2 linked regions of the Canis lupus familiaris genome follow. The protein of the gene in region 2 interacts with the protein of the main gene of each other region in a biochemical or structural test. Links are inferred from orthologs where the notes say so. Each region holds a gene or a part of one and is shown on either strand. Other genes may lie near its edges.

Region 1 (3,813 bases), on a different chromosome or scaffold from region 2:
GTTCCTCTGGAGCTGTAAGACCTTGAGCAAATATTTAATTCTCTAAGCTTAAATTTCCTCATGTGTAAAAGGACAAGACCACCAACCTTGAAAATTATTTTGTAGATTAAATCTCTCAGTGTTCTGATTATACCAGATTCCTATATGGTATAGGAATTATACCAATTCCATCCAGTGGGTGGGTGATGATCTTATACTACCAAAGGGCCAGTTCAGGGGCACCCGGATGGCTCAGTTGGGTAAGTGTCTGCCTTTGGCTCAGGTCATGATCCCAAGTTTCTGGGATAGAGCCCCCGCATCTGGGAATCTGCTTCTCCGTCTCTCTCTGCCCCTTGTGTGCTTGCTCTCTCATTTTCTCTCAAATAAATAAATAAAAATCTTTTTTTAATTAATTCATTAATTTTAAAAAATGAGGGCCAGTTCAGAATTATTATGAAGTACATCATTAAAGGGATCACAAACTGTATGAGAGTTAGCAAAGCAGTAATACCATTTTTAGTCTTTTACTGAAAATGTTTTCATATACAAACATGAAAATTTCACAGAGGTCAGAAATCTTTTTAAAACTGACATTTTTAAATATCAAAATGAAGCTTCAATTATCAACAGTGAAAACTGGTTAATTTTCTAAAAAATGTTTTGGGTGCTTAGATTTATCCAAACCTCACAAAGCAAAAAAATTTAAAACTTTCTTAAAAGAGCTGTACTTTAGAACCCAGAGACAGCCCAGTTATCTAAACAATGGGCTACATGATACACCACAGTCTCCAGGCAAAGTCACAACAGGATGAGAAAAGAGCCTTCAGCCTCTCTCAGATTTCCTGGCCACTGTTATTTTAAAACTTGATCACATAAACATAAACAGAGGGAAAAAATCCACTTCAGATAAGCGCCATGGGTTATGACTTATGATCTGTTCTTAATACATCATATTAATTTACATTAAATATTACAATAATGCATTACACTTTTCTTGTTCATGCTTCTGGACTAATGAAGAATACGTGTATTACAGTTTTACATAATATGTATTTAGAGTTTTTAATCCTGTAATCTCTTTCTAAAGTTCTTTTACTTCTTTTTAAAATTACCTTTTGAAAACGAAAAGGTAACTCAAACTGGGAGAACAATGTCACATAGAACACACAAACGCAATAGGCAAATCTGCCTAAGACTAAAATGACTTGTTTACCACTGTGTGTATAATTCCTGCGCAATTTAAAATACTCAACATGAGCTGTATATTTAAAAGTCAATGAGTTACTTTGAATGGCTGCATTGTTTCAAGCTCTGGCTATAGCCCAATGTGTAATGTTTCTAAAATTAATGATAAAAAATACCAAGGTAATTTTTTCACGAAGCAATTTCCAAATATAAAACCACAACCCAAGGTATCTATGAAGTTTAGTTAATTTGTACAGATATGCTGTTTTCCTGCCAACCTTTGCACCATGACCATTCCAGCCCAAGTTCAAGATTCACATTTCATGGTGTGAAGAGTTTCAACTAAACCTTAAGAATTTTTAAAACTTTCACACCCTGACGATACTCAGATACTTTGCATCTACACCACCAGAGCATAACAGCAAATGAAACTTTTATTTAGCACGTACAGCAATCTGTGAAGTTGCGGCAGTGCTCCTAGCTGCTCACTAGTATCTGTAGATTAGGATGCATACATTCCTCCACTACAACTTTATGCCCCATAAAACGTAACCTGTCTCCTTAAACACTACAGAAATAGTATTTCCGACACGGATGTGCCAGTAATAACCCTACCAAATTACTTCCTACTTAAAATCCCGGGGTTGGGGATCCCTGGGTGGCTCAGCGGTTTAGCGCCTGCCTTCGGCCCGGATCGAGTCCCGGGATCGAGTCCCGCATCGGGCTCCCGGCGTGGAGCCTGCTTCTCCCTCTGCCTCTCTCTCTCTCTCTCTGTCTCTCTCTCTCATGAATAAATAAGTAAAATCTTAAAAAAAAACATCCCGGGGTTGGAGCATCTGAATGGTTTTAAGGAGTTTTTGGAAATTAACAAATATAAAAAGCTCTTGTTCGGTAGCACAAATGTCCATTAACATACTCAAAGTACTGGACCACCTAAGGACTAAAATTATCCCGTTCAGACGGTCCCACCCGGTCTTCTACATGACTAGACTATCAATTCGACAGTGGCCGGCACCTGATACGAAGGTATCTCCGAGCAGGCGGCACTGTTCCTGCGCTGGATTTCAAGCTTGTTTACTCAAGAGAAAGAACTACCACGGGGCGTCCACGTCCGGGTGGGGCACCGGAGTGCTCTGCTACCCGGGGGCAGGGAAGGGACCCACAGGTAGCCTGCTGACGACAGACCCGTGAAAACCAGAACCAGCCCCGCACCGCCGTGAGCCGCCGGCCGGGCCCAGCCGGCACCTGCCTCACCGCGCGCATCCCGGGCGGAGACCCGGCCGTCAGCCCCGGCGGCGGAGGCCCGAAGCAGCGCGGCCCGGGGACGCGAGGCCCGGACGCCGACGCCGACGCCGACGCCCCGAGGAGCGGCCCCGCGCCACTCACCGGGGTGGCCGCGAGCGCAGGTGCGCGGAGGCGAGGCTACCTGTGGCCGGCGAGGTGGAGGGCGGGGTGAAAGGTAACCAAGTCGAGCGCGAAGGGCGACTGCGTGGACAGGCTCGGAGACGCGGCGGCGGCGGCGGCGGCGACCGCGGTCCTGCGAGCTTCCTGCTCGGACAGATCCCGGGGCCGTCTCCGCCCGCCGGCCGGCGCCCCGCCGAGTCCCCGGCCCCGGCGCGCGCACGTCACGGCTACGGAGCGCCCAAGGGGGCGGGGGCGCCGCGGGCCGGGGCGGGGCGGGCCGGGGCGGGGCGGGCCGGGGCGGCCGGGCACGGGGGGCGCAGGCGCGCGCTCCCCGAGGGGGCGCTGGGCGCCCGCAGCCCCCCGCCCCGCCCCGCCCCGCCCCGCCCCGCCGCGCCGCTCGCCCCCGCCCCCGCCCCCGCCCCGCGGCGCGCAGCCTCCCGGGCGGAGGTGGGCGCGCTGGAGCGCGGGAAGGGGCCGCGGCGGGCCCGGCCGGCAGCCTCGTTCCTCCCCCTGCGGCACGGCCTTCCTCGCCGCGGTTGTCTCCAGCCCGGGTGCGGAGACCGTGGAGTCCGGCAACAGCAAGAACCAGTTCACGGAGGGAGAAAGGTGTTCAGACGCGGCCAGGACCACGCGCTTTACTCGAGGGCGTTGTTGCGGAGGGAAGAACCGCTGCTAACTAGGCTCCGGTCCGGGTCGGCTTGGGCTGCGCTGGGCTGGGCTGGGCTGAGCTACGCTGGGCTGAGCTACGCTGGGCTGGGGTGGGCTGCACTGGGATGCGCTGGGGTGTGCTGGGCGCTGGGCTGCGCTGGGCTGTGCTGGGCTGAGCTGGGCTGCGAGGCGCTGGGCTGTACTGGGATGCGCTGGTGTGTGCTGGGCGCTGGGCTGTGCTGGGCTGTGCTGGGCACTGAGCTGCGCTGGGCTGCGCTGGGCTGGGCTACGCTGGGCTGGGGTGGGCTGAGCTGGGCTGCGCTGGTGTGGGCTGAGCTGGGCTGCGCTGAGCTGGGAGGCGCTGGGCTGGGCTATGCTGGGCTGCGCTCCGCTGAGCTGGGCTGCTCTGGGCTGCGCTGGGCTGGGCTACGCTGGGCTGCGCTGGTGTGGGCTGAGCTGGGCTGCGCTGAGCTGGGAGGCGCTGGGCTGGGCTATGCTGGGCTGCGCTCCGCTGAGCTGGGCTGCTCTGGGCTGCGCTGGGCTGGGCTACGCTGGGCTGCGCTGGGGTGGGCTGAGCTGGGCTGGGAGGCGCTGGCC
Region 2 (3,600 bases):
AAACCTTCCTCAGACCTTTCTCATAAATACGTACCTACATGGGTTACCAAAGAAAACACATAGCAGTTTTGATTCACATTTTGAGAATTTAAATAATACAATATTCATAATTTAAAACAGGAATGAGTCTTTTTTTAACCGCAGAACATTGTTTAGGCAACTTTTCCTATTTGTTTTTTTCTTGAAAGCTTTGAGGGTGAAATGAAAAGATCTTTCCCCCCTCCACACTGAAACAGAGAATAGCTCCAGAAGAGACAGTGGCTGGGGGATTGAGCATGTGAAGGACTTTTCTCTGTAAACTTCCAGAAACTTTTTAAGTTTTCACCATATTCAGGTATTTTATTTTTCAGTCTTTCTCCTTTTATTCAAATGGAATTTTGCCATAGAATTCAATGTAATTAAATTATTTATTAAAGATCTTTATTAAAAAAAAAAAAAGATCTTTATTCATGAGACATCAGAAACAGAGACACAGGCAGAGGGAGAAGCAGGCTCCCTGCGGGGACCTCAACACAGGACTGGATCCCAGGACCCCGGGGTCACGCCCCGAGCCAAAGGCACTCAACCACTGAGTCACCCAGGTGCCCCAAATTTTGTATTTGGGATATTAAATTGTGTCCCCCCCCCCCCCGCCCACGAATGTACAGGCCTGGGATTGGACTTGTGTTTCTGAGACCCCAGGCCTAAGGAAGTTGTACGTCTGAGCTCCACTGAGTGTCCACCAGATGCCTCCGTGTGTGTATCTAGTACAAGGCGGCGTAGGTGGTACAGGAAGGCCAAAGGACATTCTAGAAAGTTCGGTGGACTTCCAGACGCCTCTCGAATAGGTGCGGGCAAAGCGTGCGGGGTTTCTGCGCCCCCTTCTAGCCTTCGGCCGTCCCGCACCCCCTGCTCCCCCGCTGCCCCAGCCCAGCCCGGGCCCACCTCCCGCCCCGCGCCGCGATCTGTCGAGTCATCCGTCCTGTCCGCGCCCGCGCGGGGGGATGGGCGGGCCGCAGGCCCCGGCGCGAGGACCCCTGCGGTCGCGGAGGGGCGAGGGACCACGACGCCCAACCCCTCTCCGCCCAGGGCGGGTCTCGAGAGCCGCGGGGACCGCTGCGGCCGAGGGGAAGGGGTGTCTGGGTCCCGCGGCAGGGGCAGCTCGCCCCGGACGCCCGGCGATTCCGCGCCGGGTTTTCCCGTCTCCCGCGGGCCCTGTTCTCCGCGCTCGCCCCCTCCCCCCTCCCCCCTCGCATCCGGCGCCGGCCACGTCCGCGGACGCAGCACTCAACGGGCGCGCTGATCCCTCCGCGCGGGCGCTCGGGACCGCGGCCCTCTCCTCGCCAGATTCAGCCCTACAGCCCAGCCTTGACAGGTCGACGTTTCCGGGGGCTCCTAGAAGATTCTGGGGCAGTGGTTTTCTCCCTGGAGGCCAGGAAGACGGTGAAAAGTAGTCCCTTCTCGGCGTTTCTGCGCAGGGATCCGCCGGAGCGGCGCGGCCGATTGTTATATAAGGAGGCGCCGGGCGTGGCGCAGGCAGTTCCGTGGAGGCCGGGAGGTCGGTTGTTCGTCTCCGTGCGCTTCTGTCACAGCCGCTTGGTGAGGAGCGGGCCGCTGCGCGGGCCTGGGGGTCTTGGGGCCCTGCAGGGGCGGGGGGCCGGGCAGCCGGCTGCCCGGGGAGTTGCCCGCGGCGCCGGAGCGCGGTTACTCTTGGGGGGGGGGGCGCAGCAAAATGGCGTCCGCTACGGCTCCTGTGCGGGGAGAAGCCGAGGTGCGAGGGGCCGTGAGGAGCCCGGGAGACGGGATGGCTGTGAGCGGGCGAGACGCGCCGAGCCAGTGGGGCCCTGACGGGGCCCTCTGCGCAGTGAGTGGGGGCGGGAAGCCCCTGTGTGCTCCGCGGCCCCGCTGGCGCCACGCTCCGTGTCCGGTCGCGGCGAGTGGGCCCGAAGTGCCGGAGCAGTCCTGCGCCCGTTTGGGGGGAGGGGGCCCGCTCGTCGCGTCGGTCATGTGATGTCATCGCTTTGTCAGCTAACAATCCGGGGTGGGGCCGCGTGTTCCTGTGTGTGGAGCCGGCTTGGGTCAGTCGCGGGGCACAAGGGTTAGGCGGGGCGGGGGAGGGGAGATCCTGCGGATTGTCCGGTCCAGACATCACTGAGGGGGGAGGGGAAGATACGGAAGCCGGCGCCTTCACTTGACCGGTATCCATGCTTTCTCTCCTCCTGGGGCCTGGAACTTGGTTTTGGAGCTTATTTGAGTTTCCAAAACCTGTCCTGTTTCTTCGCCTTAGGTTTTTTGGCGAGGTTTATTTTAGTTCTTGGGTTAGTGTAAAATGACCAGTAACTGTTAGCGTTCTATTCACATGTGAGTGGTCTGTTACACTCCGGATTGTTTTTTTTGTTTTTTTGGGTTTTTTTGTGACAGACAATGCAGATCTTCGTGAAGACTTTGACGGGTAAGACCATCACCCTGGAGGTGGAGCCCAGTGACACCATCGAGAACGTCAAGGCGAAGATCCAGGACAAGGAGGGCATCCCCCCTGACCAGCAGAGGTTGATCTTTGCTGGCAAACAGCTGGAAGATGGGCGCACCCTGTCCGACTACAACATCCAGAAGGAGTCCACTCTGCACCTGGTCCTTCGCCTCAGGGGGGGCATGCAGATCTTCGTGAAGACCTTGACGGGTAAGACCATCACCCTGGAGGTGGAGCCCAGTGACACCATCGAGAACGTCAAGGCGAAGATCCAGGACAAGGAGGGCATCCCCCCTGACCAGCAGAGGTTGATCTTTGCCGGCAAACAGCTGGAAGATGGGCGCACCCTGTCCGACTACAACATCCAGAAGGAGTCCACTCTGCACCTGGTCCTTCGCCTCAGGGGGGGCATGCAGATCTTCGTGAAGACCTTGACGGGTAAGACCATCACCCTGGAGGTGGAGCCCAGTGACACCATCGAGAACGTCAAGGCGAAGATCCAGGACAAGGAGGGCATCCCCCCTGACCAGCAGAGGTTGATCTTTGCCGGCAAACAGCTGGAAGATGGGCGCACCCTGTCCGACTACAACATCCAGAAGGAGTCCACTCTGCACCTGGTCCTTCGCCTCAGGGGGGGCATGCAGATCTTCGTGAAGACTTTGACGGGTAAGACCATCACCCTGGAGGTGGAGCCCAGTGACACCATCGAGAACGTCAAGGCGAAGATCCAGGACAAGGAGGGCATCCCCCCTGACCAGCAGAGGTTGATCTTTGCCGGCAAACAGCTGGAAGATGGGCGCACCCTGTCCGACTACAACATCCAGAAGGAGTCCACTCTGCACCTGGTCCTTCGCCTCAGGGGGGGCATGCAGATCTTCGTGAAGACCTTGACGGGTAAGACCATCACCCTGGAGGTGGAGCCCAGTGACACCATCGAGAACGTCAAGGCGAAGATCCAGGACAAGGAGGGCATCCCCCCTGACCAGCAGAGGTTGATCTTTGCTGGCAAACAGCTGGAAGATGGGCGCACCCTGTCCGACTACAACATCCAGAAGGAGTCCACTCTGCACCTGGTCCTTCGCCTCAGGGGGGGCATGCAGATCTTCGTGAAGACCTTGACGGGTAAGACCATCACCCTGGAGGTGGAGCCC

The links.
Region 1: the proteins of UBC (region 2) and MYO6 form a complex in vitro, tested with the Homo sapiens proteins (6 studies listed by BioGRID, with this or other methods). The link is inferred for Canis lupus familiaris from reciprocal best matches to the Homo sapiens genes UBC and MYO6.

The regions. Positions count from the first base shown.
Region 1 is NC_049233.1:37,584,962-37,588,774, reverse strand, and holds the start of MYO6 (unconventional myosin-VI), read right to left. Parts: upstream 2,769-3,813; 5' UTR 2,591-2,768; exon of another isoform or gene 2,551-2,590; intron 1-2,550. UniProt on the Homo sapiens protein: Myosins are actin-based motor molecules with ATPase activity. Unconventional myosins serve in intracellular movements. Myosin 6 is a reverse-direction motor protein that moves towards the minus-end of actin filaments.
Region 2 is NC_049247.1:5,228,627-5,232,226, forward strand, and holds the start of UBC (polyubiquitin-C), read left to right. Parts: upstream 1-1,419; 5' UTR 1,420-1,578; intron 1,579-2,400; 5' UTR 2,401-2,403; coding exon 2,404-3,600.